Lytechinus pictus: one gene and its partners. The protein of the gene in region 3 purifies or fractionates together with the protein of the main gene of each other region. This does not show direct contact. Links are inferred from orthologs where the notes say so. Each region holds a gene or a part of one and is shown on either strand. Other genes may lie near its edges.

Evidence for each region. The genes of interacting proteins can lie anywhere in the genome.
Region 1: the proteins of U2 small nuclear ribonucleoprotein A'-like (region 3) and pre-mRNA-processing factor 17-like purify together in Homo sapiens (affinity purification with mass spectrometry; 3 studies listed by BioGRID and IntAct, counting the BioPlex papers as one, with this or other methods). This does not show direct contact. The link is inferred for Lytechinus pictus from reciprocal best matches to the Homo sapiens genes SNRPA1 and CDC40.
Region 2: the proteins of U2 small nuclear ribonucleoprotein A'-like (region 3) and PHD finger-like domain-containing protein 5A purify together in Homo sapiens (affinity purification with mass spectrometry; 4 studies listed by BioGRID and IntAct, with this or other methods). This does not show direct contact. The link is inferred for Lytechinus pictus from reciprocal best matches to the Homo sapiens genes SNRPA1 and PHF5A.

What each region holds. Positions count from the first base shown.
Region 1 is NC_087248.1:12,677,661-12,685,703, reverse strand, and holds the start of pre-mRNA-processing factor 17-like, read right to left. Parts: upstream 3,083-8,043; 5' UTR 3,042-3,082; coding exon 2,856-3,041; intron 1-2,855. UniProt on the Homo sapiens protein: Required for pre-mRNA splicing as component of the activated spliceosome. Plays an important role in embryonic brain development; this function does not require proline isomerization.
Region 2 is NC_087254.1:7,084,652-7,092,572, forward strand, and holds the start of PHD finger-like domain-containing protein 5A, read right to left. Parts: upstream 3,083-7,921; 5' UTR 3,032-3,082; coding exon 2,980-3,031; intron 1-2,979. Other genes in the region: E3 ubiquitin-protein ligase MGRN1-like, read right to left, coding at 7,694-7,921.
Region 3 is NC_087255.1:19,989,071-19,996,077, forward strand, and holds the start of U2 small nuclear ribonucleoprotein A'-like, read right to left. Parts: upstream 3,103-7,007; 5' UTR 2,929-3,102; intron 1-2,928. UniProt on the Homo sapiens protein: Involved in pre-mRNA splicing as component of the spliceosome. Associated with sn-RNP U2, where it contributes to the binding of stem loop IV of U2 snRNA.

The sequences.
Region 1 (8,043 bases), on a different chromosome or scaffold from region 3:
TGTCGCCTAGAGTGCCCTAGAGTGGGATTTTGCATTGTAAGTCCCCTAGGCCACTCTAGGCGACACCCCAATACTTACCCGTGCTAATAAACTGGGACTCCACTCACGCGCGTTTGGGCCTCCCTAGCTTAGAACTAAGCACTAATATCACCTTAAAAACTAAATCTACAAGGTATGTATAATCTATTTACAAATTTAATAATGTTTAATCGGTACTCACCGGTTCTTTTGTTGCATTTTCAGACCATTTCTCACAATTCTTCGTAAATATTTGCGGCAAATTTTGTCGCCATAGACAGCTTAGCGTCCATCTTTATTGATAAATGGAGCGCCCTTTACGATAGTTGTTAATGCCGCGGAGAAATCGTTAGGCATTTTGGCCTGTGTTCAAGGCGTTCTTTCTGTTTTATTTTTATATTGAAGATTGTGCATTTGTTGAATAGCGCCGTCTACGTCAGGTATGAGATCGAGTGTATAAATACACTCTTCCAAAATAATTATGATTCCGACCTGGCGCTGTTTAACTTCAATCTCTTTCACCTAAATTAGCGATGAATGCTAGCATTATAAAATATATATTATTAACGTCTGACGAAAAGAATAACCAACCGATCAGCTGACGAGAACGCGAATCACGTGATCTTCATATCAGCTTCGATCGCGAGTCAGAAGAGAAGAGCAGCTGCCCAGAAAATCAGGAAAAAGCCGTGAAAATGTAAGTTCCCCTTCATTTCTTTCATTTTTTGTTGTTGCTAACGATGCATTTACACTATAAAATTATAATTTAAATAAGAGAAAGGAATTATAGCTTGTACTTGTGATATAATGTTTAAATATCCTGTTCTCAGAGATTTCTAACCAAAAATACTACTGATGTCGCCTATGAGGTCCATACATGTAATGTTGGACCTCATTGGTACTAGGAGTGCCCTAGGCCTAATGGTGGCTGCACGATAGCGAGCCGTCTGTGTACGAGGAGAAAATAAAAAAAATGTTTTAAAAAACTCCTCGAAACAGACGGCTGCCAGCTGTCTAACGTTACACATGCAATTAATTGACAATGTGGGATGCACGTCTTCTAACAGTAACATGTCTAAACTTCTAAGTTATTTATAGTTAGGTGGTCTGTCTATGACAGATCACCTCTTAATTTCGTCAGAATTTTCTTTCTTTATTATTTATTTTTAGCACCTATGTTTGTCGCCAACTTTTCTCCGAATTGGCTGAATCATTTTGGCTGATTTTTCTGTCATATATAGAGTCTATCATAGAGACGGCATACTAAGCTTTTCAAGGTCATCTGGTCATGATGACGTCATCTACGCGCCATTTTGTAAAATTCTCAATTTGATCATATCAACATAACGGATCATCAATAATCAACCATATTTACATCACATAAACTTTAAATCAAAGGTCATCTGTCAATGTCATCAAAGGTCATGTAAAGGTCAAGACGCGCGCGTACACGCGCGTCAAAGCCAAAAAAATTCTCCAAATGGCTTATAAATTTTTTTGGGTACGTTTCAAGTCATTTTAAGCATTTCAAAAAAATTGCGCGCATGCACGTATGCGCGCGCGTTTCCGCGCGCAACGCCATAACGCAACGCAGAAACACAGTTTTTTTTACATCATTGCATTGATGATATAATTCTGAGCAATTTGATACCTTGATCAACCTTCTATGACCATTGATAACGAAATAAACACCCGTTAAAGTTTGCAGCACGTGTGCGCGCGAGCTCTCACTACAGGCCATATATGGGCGAAAACATGCCTATTGGAAATTCACTGTAGCTCTTTAAATAGTCCGTTGACCCCCAATTTTTTTTTCAAATGTCGATAGAATATGAGTTGTAGATTTGATTTCATGTCACCATTGTCTCTCAATTTGATCATGACGTCATCAAAACTGCGTTGGAAATCAAAATATCCATTTTGCTTGTTATGACGTCATAACCATTATGCAAATTAGGCTCTAACTCCGTGAATATTAGTTAATTTTCGCCCAATTTTCGATATGTTGTAGCTTAGGTCTTACTCTTTCTGAGTTATTGCCTTTATTTTTCATTTTAATGAACGGATCATCTTGAAAAATTGCAAATAATAAAGGCATGTCATTTTTACTCATTTTGCGTGTAATCTCTATGGGACATAACTTTTTCTCAAAACTAGATTCTACATTCCTCTATTTCGTGAGCTATATCTCCATTTTCTTTTGTCAGTTGTCTCTGAGCTTTGAATATGGTGTAGCTAAGATTCTCAGCTTTCGGAAGTGTGCCCTCCATTTTTTGATCAGATACCGGGATCATGCCCGTTTTTCGCTTGCAAAGTTGGATTTGCAATTCTCAAATTTGCTTACGTGTAATCTCTATGGGAACGTGTAATCTCTATGGGGAATATCGTGGCTCAATGGATAACGCACTTGACTTGAGATCTCGGGGGCGCAGGCTCGAGTCCTGGGGGTGAACAAGGTGATTTTTTTTTCATTTTTTTTTTCTTTTTACCACCTCGTACACGATCCTTTATGGTATTCAAAAGGTATGAAAGTTAAAAATTAGCAAGATTAAACAGATTATAATTACTATTTTCATATCACATGTATTTTCATATATCAAGAGACCCTTTTCACAGTTCTTTATCATCTCCCGACTTTCGCAAGTATTCCATCCATAATGAACATTCCGTTGTCATCATGAAGATCATATTGATCTGCTTGAACATGGAAATAGTGATCATGATGGCGAGAATAAGGACAGACCACCTAATTCGTCCGCATGACGAATTAAAATCTAGTTTTATTTTATTTTTACCAACATCAAGTCAGATATATGGGACAACGTACAAATACTCACGTCACTTGTTTCGTCCACCGTTGGTGCTGCGTTCAATTGTAATTTCACTTGCAAAGATTTAATGGTCCGATCCTTCTCAAGTGGTCTGAGATGTGCCGTCGCATCTTCAGAATTGGACTCCTTATCACTAATATCTCCATCACTTTCGTCACTTCCATAAGCCTGCAAAGCTGAAATCGCTGCCATTTCTATTTGGTAGGCACTTATGATCCAAGTTTGAAAGGAGACTCGTAAAATGACGTCAGTCTCGCCGATGAATATTCATTAGATCGTGGTCGTGCGTGTTCAATACACACTGCGTGCAGGCATGCAGATATATATGCGAGGAACTTTGGCTCCAGAGACAAGTTGTCAAATAACGTGTGTGTGCGTGCGTGTGTGTACCATCGGCTGGTAGTATGCCATGCTGTCTAAGACTTCAATTACGCGTCGGAGAGAGTGCATGGCAATTCGGTAAAACGAAGTTTCCGATATAAAGAGATAATAAAATAACACTGTACAGTACGCCCGGGGGTGCCACTTACATTGACGAGTGGATACCATGCGCAACCAAAAAAACACGTAAAAAGGATGTCTTTTTCAAGAGAGGGCACGTTACGTACGTAACGTGATAAGGGTGTCAAAAACACAAAAATATTGAAAAAAGGGTATCTATTTCCAGTACGTTGAGAGGCAAATGTCAGATCAGGGGAGGCAGGAGTACAATCAGGTTTTTTTAAAGGGAAGAATAGTGTAGAATAAAAGGTATTATATATACCCAAATGATCTAGGTGAGGGAAGTGAACAATGATGTTTTTTAAAAAAAGAATGAATATACCTTACCTGAATATTATGGTGAAGCCAATTTAAAAGGAGGTGAGACAAGTTTCAATGGAGGTTTTAAAAAAGAATAAACTGTATTAAGGTGAAGCCAATTTAAAAGGAGGTGAGGCAAGTTTTAATGGAGGTTTTTTAAAAGAATAAACTGTATTATGGTGAAGCCAATTTAAAAGGAGGTGAGACAAGTTTCAATGGAGGTTTTAAAAAAGAATAAACTGTATTATGGTGAAGCCAATTTAAAAGGAGGTGATGCAAGTTTTAATGGAGGTTTTTAAAAAGAATAAACTGTATTATGGTGAAGCCAATTTAAAAGGAGGTGAGGCAAGTTTCAATGGAGGTTTTTAAAAAGAATAAACTGTACTACAAATTATGGTGAAGCCAATTTAAAAGGAGGTGAGGCAAGTTTCAATTGAGGTTTTTAAAAAGAATAAACTGTACTACAAATTTAAAAGGAGGCGAGGCAAGTTTCAATGGAGGTTTTTAAAAAAGAATAAACTGTACTACAATGGTGAAGCCAATTCAAAAGGAGGTGAGGCAAGTTTCAATGGAGGTTTTTAAAAAATAATAAACTGTACTACAAATTATGGTGAAGCCAATTTAAAATGAGGTGAGGCAAGTTTTAATGGAGGTTTTTAAAAAGAATAAATTGTATTATGGTGAAGCCAATTTAAAAGGAGGTGAGGCAAGTTTCAATGCAGGTTTTTAAAAAGAATAAACTGTACTACAAATTATGGTGAAGCCAATTTAAATTAAAGGAGGTTAAAGTTAGGATTTCCAGTTGCCCAACTGGTTTCAATTGGTTTCAACTGGAAATTGTTAAATTCCAGTTAAAACCAATTGAAACCAGTTAAAACCAATTGAAACCAATTGAAACCAGTTGGAAATCCAACTGGTTTCAATTGGATTTTGGTCCTGGGTTATGGTGAAGCCAATTTAAAAGGAGGTGAGACAAGTTTCAATGGAGGTTTTAAAAAAGAATAAACTGTATTATGGTGAAGCCAATTTAAAAGGAGGTGAGGCAAGTTTCAATGGAGGTTTTTAAAAAGAATAAACTGTATTATGGTGAAGCCAATTTAAAAGGATGTGAGGCAAGTTTCAATGGAGGTTTTTAAAAAGAATAAACTGTATTATGGTGAAGCCAATTTAAAAGGAGGTGAGGCAAGTTTCAATGGAGGTTTTTAAAAAGAATAAACTGTATTATGGTGAAGCCAATTTAAAAGGAGGTGAGGCAAGTTTCAATGGAGGTTTTTAAAAAGAATAAACTGTATTATGGTGAAGCCAGTTTAAAAGGAGGTGAGGCAAGTTTCAATGGAGGTTTTTAAAAAAGAATAAACTGTACTACAAATTTAAAAGGAGGCGACGCAAGTTTCAATAGAGGTTTTTAAAAAGAATATAAACTGTACTACAAATTTGAAAGGAGGTGAGGCAAGTTTCAATGGAGGTTTTTAAAAAGAATAAACTGTATATGGTGAAGCCAATTTAAAAGGAGGTGAGCTAGGCAAGTTTCAATGGAGGTTTTTTAAAAGAATAAACTGTATTATGGTGAAGCCAATTTAAAAGGAGGTGAGGCAAGTTTCAATGGAGGTTTTTAAAAAGAATAAACTGTATATGGTGAAGCCAATTTAAAAGGAGGTGAGGCAAGTTTCAATGGAGGTTTTTAAAAAAGAATAAACTGTACTACAAATTTAAAAGGAGGCGACGCAAGTTTCAATAGAGGTTTTTAAAAAGAATAAACTGTATTACAAATTATGGTGAAGCCAATTTAAAAGGAGGTGAGGCAATTAGTTAATGGAGGTTTTTAAAAAGAATAAACTGTATTACAAGTTATGGTGAATATAATTCAAATGATGAAGCCATCTTGAGAGGTGCATGAGGCAAGTCTACAATGAGGTTTCTAAAAACAATGAATAGTGAAGAAAAAGATCGCAATTGCTTTTAATAATCCACAAAATTGTGTAGTTATTTATTTATTTCATGCAAATTGCTATTAATTGATTATGCTCATTTGTGCATAATTAGTATACTATACCTATTCCTCTAACTCCCTAAATAAAGCTCCAAATGTTCTAATTTTTGGTTTAGAAACTCTTTGTGGTGTTCTTCGATAATGTATTTCTTGTGTTTTTACCTTTGTATTGCATTGTTTTTTTTCAACGATGCTCAGACTCTCGTAACAGCATAAAATAAATCAGTTTAGTTCAACAAAACTAAAAACAATTAGGCATTCATGAATTTTGGTTGAAAACGCATATTCCATTGACGTGGTACACAAATGTCACAATTTTGAGCCATTTTTGTCTGATATGCACTTACAAATTGTTTGGTAATTTTCAGAACCCAGTACCCGGGCTTCGCAAAACTGGTCTCAAAACATGCAAAAGACTTTTTTTTTTAAATCGCAGAGCTCAGAGCCCCCCCCCCCCTGCGTAAATAGGTTAAGTTTGCATTAATTTTGAACTTTTCCATTCCCAAATACGTAATATCCCCTCCCCAAAAATGCAATTGTCACTGAAATGGAATATACATAATATATTTTTTAATAAGCCATATTTGCAAAATAATCATCATGTCATCCTTTGTCAACAAGAAATCTGTACATGTCCTCTGGAAGAAAATAATACCTCGGCCGCCTATTAAATTCTAAGTTTTGATTTTGTAAGTATTTTACTTAGCAATTTGGCTGGCTTATCAAAATGCTTAAACTTGTATGCAGATCAGATCTCAGAATTTACCTTATCCAAATTGAACTAAATACTAATACCCATTGTGATGTTATAAATTTTGAGCCAAATAGTGCCAAATGTGTGAATGTATTTCTGTGCGTATCATTTTTGTATATGTAGACTTAAGTCTAGTAGATGGCTGACTTACATTTAAGCAAAATATTTAGCCAAAAAAAAATGCAATTGAATACCAAAGATGGATAAGTATTTTACTTTTGCAAAATACTGAGTAAAATATACTTGAAATTATGGCTTTAAGAGTAGCATTGAATACCGGCCCTGTTCCTCATCATCATTATCATCCCACTACCACACCAGTTTCTGCAGCACAAACTTTAACTTTCATAGGTTGAGTCCATTTCAAAGCCAACACTCTCACTTTAACTTTCTTTTTTCTCTTATAACACACTGCCAATCACATCCTTACAACACCAACTGTCAGAGGACAACAGAACTGCAGTTACCATAGCATTACCCCCAAAACACCACTCAATTTTGAATTGATCCAAATGAAATATGACTGTGTTGCACAAAAAAAAGCTATGTAGTCATAGTAGATTTTATTGACTTGTACATTCATAAGGCTATGCATATATTTTGAGTAATTGTTGTGTTGTCTTCAGTGATAGTTGGTACCCACTGTGCTTATGGCCAACTTTGGTAAAGGCATACATTGAATAAACTTTTATGTACTGAAAATGATGACAGAATATATTCTAAAAAAATAACATTACAAATGCATGACAGGTAATACAACATATTTCAACATGAACTATTTCACAATTTGCCAACATGACAATAAAAACTAACCTTAAAAAATAGTAGAAGCTGATGTTGGATGGAAAAGAATATTTTTGTCATACAGCTTGAAAGACATTATATATGTATGCACTTAATGGTATCTACATGATCATTAAGTTCTTCTACACAGCTTGATATAATGTTGATTTATCCAGTTTGGCAAGTACTGTTGTGGTTGAGGCAAGGTTAATGGTTTTTCTGAATACTGAACCCCATTTTGTGTAACGAAATGAAATCTACCAGAGTTACATGACAAAGTACAATAGAAGAAAATACCAACAGCTAGGCAAGCTTTTTTACATAAATCTTTTTTTTCATATACTCTTTGATATTTTTTCTCAAAACAAATGTGGCCAGCCACCCAAATATCAACAATAAGTTGCCAGGGAAGGTTCGTAGAAAATAACCAAAATAGTAATTCAGTTTTCCAAACGCATATTTAGAATATTGGTTTATCCGAAAAAAAAGAAATTTCTTCATACTGTCAAAATGTGAGGTTGTAAAAGTTGAAGACAAAATACAAGACTTTGATATCCGTGTTTTGCTCACTGCTACGTAGTTGAACTACATATTACACATCGCATGCTTAAGTGAACCCCAAATCTTGTTCTCTTATTTGTTGAAGCTCTCACCAAACTTCTTCTGCATTCAATGAAGTACTAGCGAGGGATATTATTGATCAATATTAACAAGATAAATCATTTTACAGCTTAGGATGTGATCGCTCAAGATCAATGAGAATCTTTAAATCAATGTATTTATTGTTGGTATTGGGGTGGCTGGACACATATAGCAATATATTCTCGCTGTTGGAAAAAACAAGTGACAATTACATTAGTTAACAG
Region 2 (7,921 bases), on a different chromosome or scaffold from region 3:
GAAAGAAAGAAAGAAAGAAAGAAAGAACGAAAAAGAAAAAGAAAGAATAAAAGAAAGGAAGGAAGGAAGGAAAGAAGGAAGGAAGAAAAAAAAAAGGGTAAAGAAAGGATAGATGTGAAGGAAGGGAAAAAAAGAAAGAACTAAAGAAGGAAAGGAAGGAAGGAATAAAGAAGGAACAAAAATAAGAAAGAAAGAAAGAAAGAAAATAAAAAAGAAATGAAGGAAAGAAATGAAGCAAGCAATACAGAAAGAAAGAACAAATCCAGAAAGTAGTAAAGGAAAGAAAGAAGCAATAAAAAAGAAAGGGTAAAAAGAGAGATGGAAAGAAGGACAAAAGAAAGAAAGAGAGGAAGGAAGGATTGAAAGAAGGGAAAAAGGAATTAAGGAAGAAATAAAGGAAAGGTAAAATGATAGACAGAAGGAAAGAAATAAAGGAAGGAAGGGAAGGAAAGAAGCAAGCAATATAAGAAAATAAAAGGTAAAAGAAAAGATGAAAGGGAGAAAAAAAGAAAGACTGAGAGACAAAGAAAGGAAGGAATGAAAGAATAAAGGAGAGAAAGGAAGCAAGCAGTCAAAAAAGAAAAGGTAAAAGGACAGATTTAACAAAGGGAAAAAGGAAAGAACAAGACAGATAGAAGGAAGGAATGAATGTAAGAGAGAGAGGGCTGAAAGAAGGAAGAAATAAAAAAAACAAGAAAGGGTAAATAAATGATGGATGGATGGAAGGAAGAAAGAAACAAAGAAAGTAACAAAGAATGAAGGAAAGAAAAGGGTAAAAAGAAGGAAGGAACGAAAGGAAGAAGAGAAGAGATGAATATAGGATGGATGGACTCAAGAATTAAAGAAAGGAAAATATCACCCAAAAAAAGAAAGAAAGAAAGAAAGAGAGAGAGAAAAAAAAGAGAAATAGAGAAAAATATTTTTTGAAAGGATAGAAAGAATGTAAGAACAAATTAAAGGAAAAAAGGGGAAATTAAAAAAAGACAGTAACAAAAAAAATGAAAGAAGAGAGGGAAGAAACAAAAAAAGCTTAAAAAGAAAGAAGGAAAGAAAGATAGGAAGAAAACAGAGGAAGAAAGCTAAAACTATCAAATAATTTATCAGTTTCTTTTGGCTCAATTAAAATAGCTACGAAAGAAACCAAGTGTATCAACACACACATAAATGCATATGTGGGGCTATTATGTATTCAGACGATATCACCCGAAACCCGATCTGTTTGAACCAAAACAGAAGTGAAAATTTCTCCTTTTACTGCTTACAAATTACAGAGTTACTCCAATTTTTAGGAAATATGGACATTATAAGAGCCTTTCATGAGTATGAATCGTGAATTTTGACAGTTCTGTGAGAGATTTCTGCCAGAGTTTAGCCAAGCTTCCTTCGCGCAGCCAGTAGAGAATTTACCACGTGGGTTGTGTGGCTGGCTACATGTACACTGTATGCTACTTTAGTAACACTTACGTGCGATTCATTCTGTGTGTATTCTGTGTGTGAATGACATAATTTTACGGGGGGAAATGGTTTGCAGTGAATTTGACCATTTCTGGAAAAGTTATTGGCCCAACAATGGTTTTTATTACTGGTCATGTCGGACCCTTAAATCTTGCTATTTTTGGAAAAATTACTGGCCCGACAATGATATTTTTTACTGGTCATGTCGGACCAGTAAATCTTCCTATTTCTGAAAATCTACTAGCCCGACAGCGATTTTTACCGGTCTGGGACCGTCGGACCGGCGCTAGTGTCGAGCCCTGTATAAGTGAAAGTTTGATGAAAATCTGACTAAGGAAAACCCGAGAATTGAATTTTTAAAGTTTTGACTTAGTAAAATCACAAATGAGCAGCTCGTTTATATGTCGTATGATATAATTTCACATAAATGCTATTTCGATTATCTAAAAAAAGTTTAATTGATTTTAGTTGTGTGGCAGATATATCACCAGACAGGAAGACACATTTTATAACCTTTCTAATTCTGCAACCCCCAAAAATTATTCATCATATTCCAAAACAAAACTGAAATTTATGGAATCATATTACATGATTGGGATATCCTACTATGAAAAAAAATCATCAAACCTTCTCAATTGTTTTTTCTTTATTAAAACCAACTTGTCATCAAGATTATCAGGGTGAACTTTGTCTTTAAATACAAACTTCTTTTTAATTCATTTTTAAGAAAGTTCAGATTTGATGATCATTTTCTCAATGTCTCTGAGGCTAACCATTCACAATTTTGGGTTAAAATCATTTTGAGACCAAATCTTTCAAGGAATTTCCAGCAAGCTTAGAGTTTTTAGACAGGGCAAATTGTGTGAACTACAATACAAAAACAATAGCGAAAGAGAGGATTAAAAACACAACATCTTTATTTCATGTGTCATTGTTATCTTTTTCTTTTTCCCCTTCCACTGCTTTCTTCTAATTCCTTCTTTCTCTCTCATTCTCCTCCCTTTCATCTCATACTTTGTTTCTCGTTTCTTCCTTTCTTCCCCCCCCCCCCGTCCTTTTCTTTTCTTTCCTTTCTTCATTTCTCTTGTTTTTCTCTATTCCCCCCTTTTTTTCCCCTCTCCGTTTTAGCCTAGAGCTAGATCTAGCCTAGCTTTTTTTTTTTTTGGGGGGGGACAAGGCTTCTTCACCTCGGCCCCCTTCCTATGGACCCGCACCTGGATAGCAATCATACCATAGTCCACACCGCTTTATTTTTAGACTGGGACACGAAAGCTGAAACTGAAAGGACTGAACCTAGCGCTGCGCGCTGCCCCCACGCCGCCGCCGTAAACTGTTTATTAAACACACATCCAAAATAAAGGGATCGGACTGAAGTCATTTGAACGATGATTAAACGTTTCGGTTTCGATGGTTAATGTTGCATATTTGATAAATCTGGTAGATCTGTTGCTTTTTATTTACTACTTTGAAAATTGAAGAAGTCACCCATCCCTTGAAAATTCAAATTATCGATGGTTAACTTACCAACACCAGGCTGTTTGCGACAAAAAATTAAATCTGGATGATGCTTCGCCATGTTTCCAAATGTTGACTATATGATAATCGCCGCAGATGGCGCTAGCACTCCTTTTTGGAAGAACTTTCTTTTCCTCTTCTTTTTTCCCTTTCAGTTTATTTGGCAAGCATTAACTTCCACTCGTTCTGATTTATTTATTTTATATCTATTTCATTTTAATCATTTACCTATATGGTATTGAAAACTTTTATTGGAAAGAATTCCTTATGCAACAGCTATTCTAACCCTTCTTCTTCCGTTGAGTACAGTCCTCTTTACAGAGTATGGTATAGTCGTACTTGGCTGAGGCCGCAATCACAAAAACACATGACATTTGGTGCAGTTGAACAAAACTAAACTATAGTGCAAGTAAAAAGATAAAAGATAAAATCCTAACCCTAATATATATGTATTTTTCACTTTGGGTGGCTATCACAAATAACACCCCTTTTATCTATTTCATGTATTTTATTCCATTTTCAGGTACACATGGCATTATACTCATAACAATAGTCAATTTCAGTATATTGAAAATAATCATACAATATCCAACATACAATATCAGTGTGAAAAAAAAAAAGGGAAAGAACACCAGCTAATGCCTGGGGATTATCAAAAGACATCAAGTTTCTGATTAAAGACTCTCCTCATTAGCTGGTGCTAAAAAGAACACGAACATTAAAATACAGTTCAACAAATAACAAATAAAAATGACATTTGAAGACATAATTAATAAATGCAGGTGTAAATGAAAGAAAGGAAGGATGGACGGATGGACGAAAGAAAGAAAAAAAAAGCTGGATAAGAGTTAAAAAAAAGGAGAAATGGTGAAAGCAAAGAGAGGGTGAGAGTTTGAATGGAAAAAGAAAGAAATAGAATTAATGTAGAGGGATAATCCTTTTTTTTAATCTTTTTATTTTTTATTTTTAATATCTTTTTCATTTTCATTTTTTTTCTTATATCTTTCTAATTCCTGATTTAGTGTTTCTTTTCTAGTGTTTCTTTTTTTTCATATTGTGCTTCCCTCATTCTTTTCATTTTTTTTTTCAAAATCTAAAGGTCACTATTTATAATCTGAAATTGAGGTCATTATGCATAAAATGAAGATGGTTCATATATCAATTAAAATATATCGCATGATGAATATTGGACATCCACAAGCACACATTCACATTATCGCATATAAAAGATCAATCCCATTCCCTCAATGTGATTACTTTGTCCCATCGGGGCTTTTTATGCTATCAAGGCTACACTTACAATAAAAATCATACCATCTTATAGTGTTGTGATAATTATATGTTTATTTTATATGATCAATATGTACAAGATCAAATACATTTACAATACATTTACATTGTACTACCTACATATACTATGGATCTTCTCAAAAGGTAAATGACAGCATATACAAGAACATGGGAAGAAAACATTCATCCCTTTAAGAGTAAATAATATAAAAATATAATAGCTAATGTCCTTACTACTTGATTACAAACATGATTTAAGTATCTTCTTTTATAAATATTTAACATTTCCTTCTCTTTGAATAAAAAACATCATCATCATCGCCAGGATTTTGAAATTCAAACATTTTGAGGACAGCTCAAGAAGGATTGATTTTAGCGTTTCAGCATAGATACAGTGGCAAACTTTTATGCCTAGAAAGAGTTCTCTATAGGGATTGGGAGACAGTTTTCAGAAATTCAGACATGTGATGGTTGCTACCCTTGTAATATTTCCATAATACAGCCTTTTCTGTGCTGGCCTCAAAAACGAATTTTGCAACAGAATGTTTGAACACCCCAAATGACAGTATACTGGGGGCCGTTTCACAAAGCTGTTCATAAGTTAAGAGTGACTTTAAGAACGACTGGTGATCCTTTCTTGTGGTAAATGATATTCACCATTAAATGTTCATTGGTGATTATTTAGCGCGTAAGAAAGGATCATCAGTCGCTCTTAAAGTTACTCTTAACTCACGAACAGCTTTATGAAACATATCCACAGTGTATTATTATTATTTGTTTGGCGTCACCTGTGCCTGGGAGGCGAAAAGTGAACTGAATCACTATGACCCGCAGGTCTCTCCTGATATAACTGATTGGGGGGGAGTGCAGGTGGACCACTACACCATCTCTTCATAAGCTCAAAGGAACATCAAGATTTTTAACAAAGCAAATAAAAGCATCAGACTAACTTTTCCATGCTTTCAAAATACAAAACACTTTCAATGTACCTCTATTGTTTATGTAGAGTCCCTTGAATTTATTCGTTTGATACTATAGAGGCGTCCTAAATTTTGGAATGGGCACCTCTGTGCTTTTACTCATACAGATACCGAGACCCGTTCCCACTCTGCTTTGAGTTGTTAACCTCTACATTCATATTTTAAGTTAGCAGATAAGGAGAAACTTGTTTATTAATAGAAATATTCAGAAACTTAGTCATGACCAAGGCTGTATGCAGCATAGGGGGCAATTGCCCCCAGAAATTTTGAAAACTTACATTTTTTTTACCGGGAATTTCCACAAAATGATCTATAAGTGCACACAAAATCCTTCAATATCACTTTAGAAGATGTAAACATGCCCAAATGATAAGCTTGGTCACCTACAATCCCATAATTCTTTATGCGTCGTGTCCCACCAGGGAAAAAAAATAAATTATGTACGGCCTTGCTCAAATCTGGTCCTTTGAAACATCTCAAAAAAAGTTAAAGGCAATTTTTTTAGGTTCTATAGATAACACACACAAAACCCCCATCTTGAGGATACAAGTTATATTGACCTCAAACAAATTACTACATTATATGAAGAAGTTAATTTATGATATTAACAAATCAAATTTAGATACATGACCTTGATACGATACACCACATACATGGTTCCTGAACCCCATCATGAAAGAGGGGGGGGGGGGGGCAAACACTTACCATAATACTACATTCATAACATAAGAGGTTTGTGCCATGTTATCTCATGACACAATATCCCCCTTCCCTCTGCACAAGGGCTGACAAAAACAAAACACCTGTGATTACGATGGTGAACAAATATGGAATATGCAATAATAATCATGCTTTTTGTCATGCTTTGATAATTAAACATTAGCTGTCCCCCTTTCACGACTCATATTCTACACATAACACAGGATGCCACTCTCCAATCAATTAAAGACCTACATGGCATAACAATACATAAATACAGAAAGTAGCATATTAAAACAACATGCAACTAGATGACAGGCTTAGATACACTTGATAGTAACTTCTACGAATCTAGTATACTCAGGTGGTAACACTCAAAATTGATGAATTGCACATGTACAAGAAATGGAATTACAATTATTTTTCAAGGATAATAGAATACTAAGTAAACTAGGTGCTGGATGCATGCACAATAACTAAATCTAACTCCTGCTTAAAAAAGAGCAATACATAGATTCAAAGAACCACTAGCCTGAGCCAATGACCATTCTTCACCTGAAGAAAAAAGGGCAGGAACTGAAAAGAATAGAAAAACAAAATAGGAAAAAGGAGTCTACATGCAGTATTTGTAGTGTACTTCGACTTCCATGCATATCTTTTAATGTATTGGATGTGAAAAAATATTTAAATACATATTTTTTTTCTCATCTGTTGGTTAAACTAATCTCTCTAAAGGTCTCCGAACACCTTATGACTGGTCTATGATCCAATTTTGGAACAAATTGCATTTTTGTTTATTTTCTCAATAAGTGAATGATAAATAGGTATATACTTTCTTTAGGTTCAAAGTAAATGTAGAATACTAATATAATAACAATTTTGGATGATTGCAAGCCATTACTTTGGAGTTGAGGCCAAATTGGTTTCATATCAAGGCCGATCGAACGACTGTTAAGATGTCATTATGATTAAATATTGAATTTTCTTCTATTCTCATTAGGAAGGTAGCATTGTCACAGATTTTAAGCATAAGTATTCCTTCGAGGATTAAGAACTTTCCAAAGAAAGATGTTTCATGTCTCATTATTTGCATCTAATCTTACGTTTTATTCCAAAATGGGTCACAGACCAATCATAAGGTGTGCAGTGATCTTTACATATATGACTAATATGATACAGACAATATAACAGTTGAACATCCACACATGAGTTGATATAATACATCTTAAATACAATGAGTGGACATTACATATTCAAAATATCTTGTGCTAAAGTTGATGCAAGAACTTCAAAAGCCAGGTCATTCTTCATAGAGCTCTAACAAACTTTAAGTAATGTCATCAGGTCATCTGGTGTCACCAAATGGAATTTAGACGACAGGGTCTTCACTTGCTGTCTTGGAATCCTCAAGGAAAGAGGAAGAGGGGAAGGCCTCAAAACTCATGGCGCAGAGACATGGATGAAGATGCTAAAAGCATGGGCCACACATGGAAAGATCTGGAGACGTTGGCTCAGGTCCACTCTGCCAGGTGGATCCTTTTTGACAGGCCTGTGTCTTAGAAGGGGCAATAGGAGGGGCCAAAGGCATAAGTAAAAGTAAAGTCCTTACTGGTAGCTTCCTCTAGCTGGATATTGCTTGGGGTTAACAGCATCTGTCTCTGACTATTAGAACTGAGTGAACTATTAAGATTCACAAGGTACCTGGGGCAGTTCTAGAATCCCTAATTGGGGTTCCTGGTAGATCGATGAGCTGGTTAGACGATAGGGTCCTTACTGGCAGCCTCCTCGAGCTGGATGTTGCTTGGGGTTGACAGCATCTGTCTCTGACTGTTGGAACTTAGTGAACTGTTGACTTCCAAAGGAGTGCTTGGCGATGTGTTAGAATCACTGGTTGGGGTTCCGGGTAGATCAATGTCAACATTTAACAGGGACGGACCGTGTGAGATGGCATCGGGAGATTTGGAGTTGCTTTCAAGAAACAC
Region 3 (7,007 bases):
AAGCATATTAAATTATTACAATCTTAAAGCTCTACACCAGGGAAAATCAATATAGAAAAAATAAAAATGTATATATATATATATATATATCTACACAAAAAAAAGGCAGAGCCTATAGAGGCTATACGACACTGCCAAGCTTCAAGTTTAGTTCACTCTCTCACTCAGTCAAGCTCAGCTCTTTGACTGTGCACGCCCACTTCCATTGGGGATTCGGGCTGAATCCCACCCCGCCAGTTTAGGCGGCCGAGCTACGTAGAATTGCGATGAAGAGCAGCGGACCGTTCATCGGTTGTTCGCTTCTTACGACCAGAGAGAAAAGGTGAAAAACTTAAAGAAAATCGTGCAATACTCCAAATTTTATCCTTTTGATGAGAAAATGGAGTTAATGGAATACAAGAAAGTCCATCTTCTGCGATAAAAGTGGTAACTTGAGGAGAAATTATCACAAAATCAAGTCAGTTGTTGAGCGGGGCCGAGCCGAGCACCTACACAGTTAATACACACGCGCCTATGGGAATCGCGAGCTGTCGAAAAACGCCTAAAATTACACTTTTTTATTTATTTCAGCGAAAAAAAAGTAATAGAAAGTGAAGAACATTACCATCAGACCATATCTCTAGAAAATCTTTACAAGAAATTTCGAAATGACGGAAAAATAGACTCAAATTTGTGGGGAAAAAATCACGAAACGGGTGAGACAACTCGGCCCACGGTCCGAGTTGTCCCGTGGTCCGAGTTGTCCCTGAGTATAGCATTTTGCTGTCGATCTAATATAAATATTTCATTTTTTGAGCTTGAGTTTTTGTTTAAATCTCCACACAAACTTTGGTCCGCGAAGTTAGGTCACACTTTTTCAGAACGGTTTTTCAGCACAGCGCGCATTCGCCGATCGGAATAGAATTTTGACATCGCTATACCAGCGTAACCCTTTGACCTACTTTACATTTTCGTCCATGATTTTATAGTTTACGATCTTGCCGTCAATGTGGTAACTATTTCTTGAATTGGCTTTGTATGAATTATGAATATTTTGTGAACAAATTTAAGCCTAATAAATATTTTTGAAAAGTCCGCGAAGTTTGGACACCCCATCATACTAGCTACTGTACTGGCACTGCTAGCTGCTGCTAATGGTGGCTGCATGATAGCGAGCTGTCTGCAGTAGAGGCGCACGGCCAATATTGGAGACTGTCTCCAATGTGGGAGATAATATCAGAGACTTTTGTAAAGAATTTGGGTATCCAATTTCAGAGACAGTCTCCAGTTTTGGAGACCAATTTCCTTTGTTTACATTTGCTGCAAAAGGATTACCTTGGCGGCAAATAAAAATGTGATAAGATAAGCAGATTCCTCATGAAAAATTACCCCTTTTCACCGTCTACTTTAAAAATTCACCGTCTACTTTTGTTTTGATTTGGATTTTTGTTGTCAATCACACACAAAACAAATGGGCTTCTGACCTCGGGAAATTTACCCCGATCAGAAAATACCAGGTACTTTGGCGGTGTGAAAGCAAACTACGCGTAATATCCCCGAAAGAAAATACCCGATAAATAGTAGGTACTTGGCGAAATTACGAGAACTTTCGCGGGGATTTTTCCAAGGTCGTGGGTATTTTGGCGGTCTGAAAGCAAATTACGGGAACTTTTAGCCCAGCGTGTCGTTGGGTGCGGCGCCGTGCATGGGTTGCTGCTGGGCTAGTGATTTTGAATTTCGCGCCTTGCTGCTTATCAGACCATACTGCGCATGCTCGTAACTTCAGGAACTTATCCCGAAGGCGAAGGGTATGTTTCAGGGCGGTGTGAATGCAGGAATAATTAATGGGTATTTTTCAGCCTAAAAAAGTTATCGTAATTTAACAGGGATTCTTGTGATCGAGGCGGTTTGAAACCACCTAGTGAGACAAAATTTTGGGTGGAAAAAATTGTGCTTTTGTTGGTGTTGTTTCTTTTGTCAGTAGAGGCGCACGGCCAATATGGGAGACTCTCTCCAATAGGGGAGACAATCTCCCACATTGGAGACTTGCTTTGCAAAAGGACAAAAGAAACAACACCAACAAAAGCATGATTTTTTCCACCCAAAATTTTGTCTCACTGAGGTCAGAAGCCCATTTGTTTTGTGTGTGATTGACAACAAAAATCCTTATCAAAACAAAAGTAGACGGTGAATATTTAATGTAGACGGTGAAAAGGGGTAATTTTTCATGAGGAATCTGCTTATCACATTTTTATTTGCCGCCAAGATAATCCTTTTGCAGCAAATGTAAACAAAGGAAATTGGACTCCAAAACTGGAGACTGTCTCTGAAATTGGATACCCAAATTCTTTACAAAAGTCTCTCATGTTGGAGATAATCTCCCACATTGGAGACAGTCTCCAATATTGGCCGTGCGCCTCTACTGTTTGTCCTTTTGCAAAGCAAGTCTCGAATGTGGGAGATTGTCTCCCCTATTAGTATTGGAGAGAGTCTCCCATATTGGCCGTGCGCCTCTACTGGTCTGTGTAAGAGGAGAAATTTAAAAAAAATAATGTTAAAAAACTCGAAACAGACGGCTGCCAGCTGTCTCGGAGCCTCCTGGGGAGCGTTTCATGAAAGGACTTGTCTGACGTTTTATCCGACAAGTCCCATTTTATCCGCCAGTTACCATAGGAACAGTGCCTTTCAGCCAGTCAACATGCAGGGAAAGATGTCAGATCTGACAACTTGTCGGATGAAAATGATTGAACACTCCCCTGGCTAGCCATCCATGGCATGGCCATGGCGCAGCGCGCAGCTGCAACCAGCAGAATTCACCGCCGCATCGCGGGGTCTCTAGTCTAGGTCCCCGGAGCGCCGGGGCAGGAGGCAATGAGACTACCGTTCACTCGCCCTCACACTCACACAGACTCAAACTGAACAGCAGTTTACAATCGACGATTTACTTACCACGGAGATCAATTTCTCTATCCCTCACAGGATTCAGGTACTGTGCTGCCTGATCAATCAATTCCGGTGTTAATTTAACCATTTTACAGATCTGTTTTACTTCAGTGAACACAATTTAATCACATAAAAAACACGTTTCAAAGACGCCGTTTCAGGAATTGTCGAAAGTGACTTAATGCAGATCCCGCGTGCATTCGGACATTGTTAAAAAAACGCAGAAGATACGAATAATACGAAAAAAAATCTATTGTGATAACAAAATAAACGTTTAGTTTGTTGGACCGACATGCCCGGCCCCCACCCCAGAAAACACAAACAAACAAAAAAATATAACAGAATAACTGAGAAATACAGAAAGTATAAATACTTAAAATTAAATGAGATACCGGGTACATATACAGGCAGAAGAAAAGGAACAATCACAAGTCTTAATTTTGTAGATTTTTTTTTGTACGGGCCGGCAAGTCAGACCTACCGTATATTCTCTTTATAAGGCAAGCATAATGAAAATTTGACCTTGCATGAAAACAAAACCATTTTCATGTGTAAATAGGTTTTGATATGTCTTCACCATTTATTTTTCACTTAGCTTCATCTCATCCGACCCCCGCCCCCCCCCCCCCCCCCCCCCCCCCCTCTTGATCCCTCGACACTCATGCTATTCCGATGGTGGATGTGCATGAAGCCGCTGTGAAAAAAAAACCTAGAAGTTTCAGGAATATGGAGAAATTTACAGGAAATCATTTCCTTTGATGAAATTTAACGAGGCAGGCCGGTACATGCATGGATCCAGGGGCAGACACTGGCAGGAGGTGTGCATGGCATGGGCGCCCTATGAGCCGCCTAGCTATGAGGCAATTAAGAAAAAAAAAGAAAAGAGAAGAACCCAAAATAGAGGCGCCACTTAGACACTCGAACGCGGAGTTTGTGCAGTTATGTCCCAAATTGGCACAAAATCTATTAAAACAAGGATTTTTGTACCCCAGATATATTTATTTGTTTATTTCATGTAGTTTTTCTTGGGGGTATATATATATAGGCTTTAATGAAGAAGCAATTATATAGCTAGTGGAGGTCATGAGTGAGAGCTATTGACTCCGGCCAGCGTTTTTCAGTTCTTGGCATCCGGCTGTCTGGAGGCTACCCCGTGAAATGGGGACAAACCCAGATTTAAAGGGGAATTAAGTTCACCCTGATAATAGCAGAAATTAGTGAAGCGCTAGATGAAAATCGATCAAATGATAAAAGATTTATAGATTTGGATTTTGTGACGTCACATACAAGCAGTTCCTCCATAATGACACATGAAAAAATTAAACATGATTTTATTTGTGCGATGGATTTCTCATCAGACAAATATCATTTCACGGGCCTTTATGAATATAACAATATTCTTCATATTCCTTTGAAAATGGAAGTGATATTACATGATATAAGCTGCTCACATAATCGTGTCACAAATTAAAAACGTCATATTCCATGGTTTTCATCAAACCTTCGCAAATATTTTTCTAAAATTTGCTGCTTTTAATATCAGCTTATCTTCAGGGTGAACTTCCCCTTTGATGTGTTAGCCAACTACCAACTGACACCTCCATTCAGCCCTTCATAATGTAGGATTGTTAATTTGTCATTTACCTATTTTGTTTATTTCCTTTGACTTGTGTTTCCTTCAGGTGTTTTACATTTCTGTTCTGTCTAGACTTTAGTTCATTTGCATTTCTTTTCAGTACTGCCCTTGCAGTCTGGACTTGGGTTATTTGAGTTTAATGATATTCAGTTGTCATTCATTCATTCTACTCTGAATGCCTTTCCTGTGTTTCTCTTGTCATCTTCATTCCTTCTCTATTCTCTCTTCAGGTGTTCCACCCATTCCATCCCTCACCCGACTCCTTAGTTTCTACTTCCATTATTACATAATCACCAGACATATCTCATCTCATTCCTTATTGGTTCATCTTATGAATTGGGTTCTTACATTTTAGTTCGATCATGGACCTATGAAGAGATGGACATTCATCGCTTAGATAATGAATTCACTAACAGGTGACGGTAATTGTCATCTGAATAACATTCTCTTCATACTAGTCTTCTTTGGTCCTATGATCGTCACCGTGAGAAGGGACTGAATTAGTTCGTTATTGGACATTTATATTTCACAAATTATATGCGCAGTTGATAGAAAATCAATGAAATAATGGATAATCGATGTGCAGTTTTTGTTTACCTTTGTTAATCTTAGTTCCATGTGTTTTATTTGGGGAAATGTCTGCATATTTTAATATAGAGGCAATATTGTGATTGATTGTTTACCATTTAAAATTCAATTTTCCCAAGTTTCTCCATAATATTCCAGATATACGTGGCACATAACATGTGTAGATCGTGTATCTTTCAATGTTATTGAGGTCCTTATGTGTGAGCGGTAGTTAGCGGATCGAATAATATAATATTTTATATCATAAAAATCGCCTGCTTCTCAAGTTTGCTGATCCATATATGAAGCAAATTGACTGAAAGGCACATACTGAAACAGGGGATCAGCCAACAAAAGTCAAGACCGGGAAACTGTTCCGTCTTTGAGTGATCAGATACCCTTGGTATACATAGTCATGGTAATTGCTATTGTTACAACACCTGTATGTTCTCATTAAAATGCGCATAACCAGGTGACGGTGACTATCATTGGGTCAAAGAAATGCTCGCGTTAATCGTCCATCTTTTCATAGGTCCATGGTTCGATCCTTCCATTTTCTTTAGTTTGATTGGTTATTTCTAATTTAAATATTTATGTAAATTATACTGTGATCCAAAGTTAAGCTGAGGCAAAATAGCCCAGATATTAAACAGTGTACAACCAGACTCCTTCGGTTTAAGTTCTCTTCATTTTGCCGCGTCTGCTTCATTCCCCTTCAGTTTGATGATTTAGAACTTCATTTATTTTCAACTCCAAACATATAATTTTCTTGAACCCTACAATAATCTCTCTCTCTTTCGTAGGCTGTATGTATCTATCCATCTCTCTCCTTCTTTTTGTATGTCTATCTCTCTCTCTCACTATCTCATTTTTTCTTTTATTTTATTTTCTCACTCTTAACTCTCTCTCCATCTTGCTACCCATCCACCCTCTCCCCCCTCACTGTTCCTCCCATATTCCACAAACACCATAACATACATACATTTTTCTCAGTTACATAAGTACACAACATAGGAAACTATTAGATGCAAACTAGTATACAAACTTTAGTGTCTTTATAATAGCATATATATTTCAACCAATATGTTTTTTTTATTGGAATGCATTTAAAAAGGCAGCTCATAATGAAAGACTATAATTGCATCCAGCCAGTCTATTTCAAATACATCATCTAAAAAAAAAAAAAATTATTTAAAAAACCTCCAAGTTAAGCTTTTGTAAGGATCATGGGTGTCGATCAGTATTCTTGGTTGGGGGGATGATGACACAAAAGTTCTTGTGGATGGGGATCTTTCAACATTACCCCCACTAAAATCACAAGTTAGGACATTTGGGAGTGATTGATATGCATGGTGTTCTTGGAAATTCCTTCATTGTTGTAGTGTACTGTACTTATATAATTTTTTTTAAAATTCAATTTGTGTTACAAGTAAGCCTATTCTAAACTCATACGAAAGAAAAAATGACAAAAATTATCTGGAACATGTACATAGTGATCTGTGGATTGAGCATGATGTATACACAGGGGCATCGATCCATTTTTCAGATTGGGGGGGGGGGGCAAAATCATGAATCAACGTTCCAAAGACGCTCGATCATATAAAACGAACAAACTCACCCACACACCCCCACACATAGGCCTATATTTTATATATATATATATGAATCATAAGAGACACATATCTCAACCTCACCAACAATGCGAGCGCGAAGCGCGAGCTGAAAATTTTTAGTACGACATGAAAACAGGAAAAATGTACCTGTTTAGGTTTGCTTGTAGTAACTCATGAGGAGCATAGATACATGTATCTCACTAGAGAGCGAGCTAAAATTTCTTTATATTCTGACGTGAAAGCTTGATATGCTAAGCACTTTTGGTACC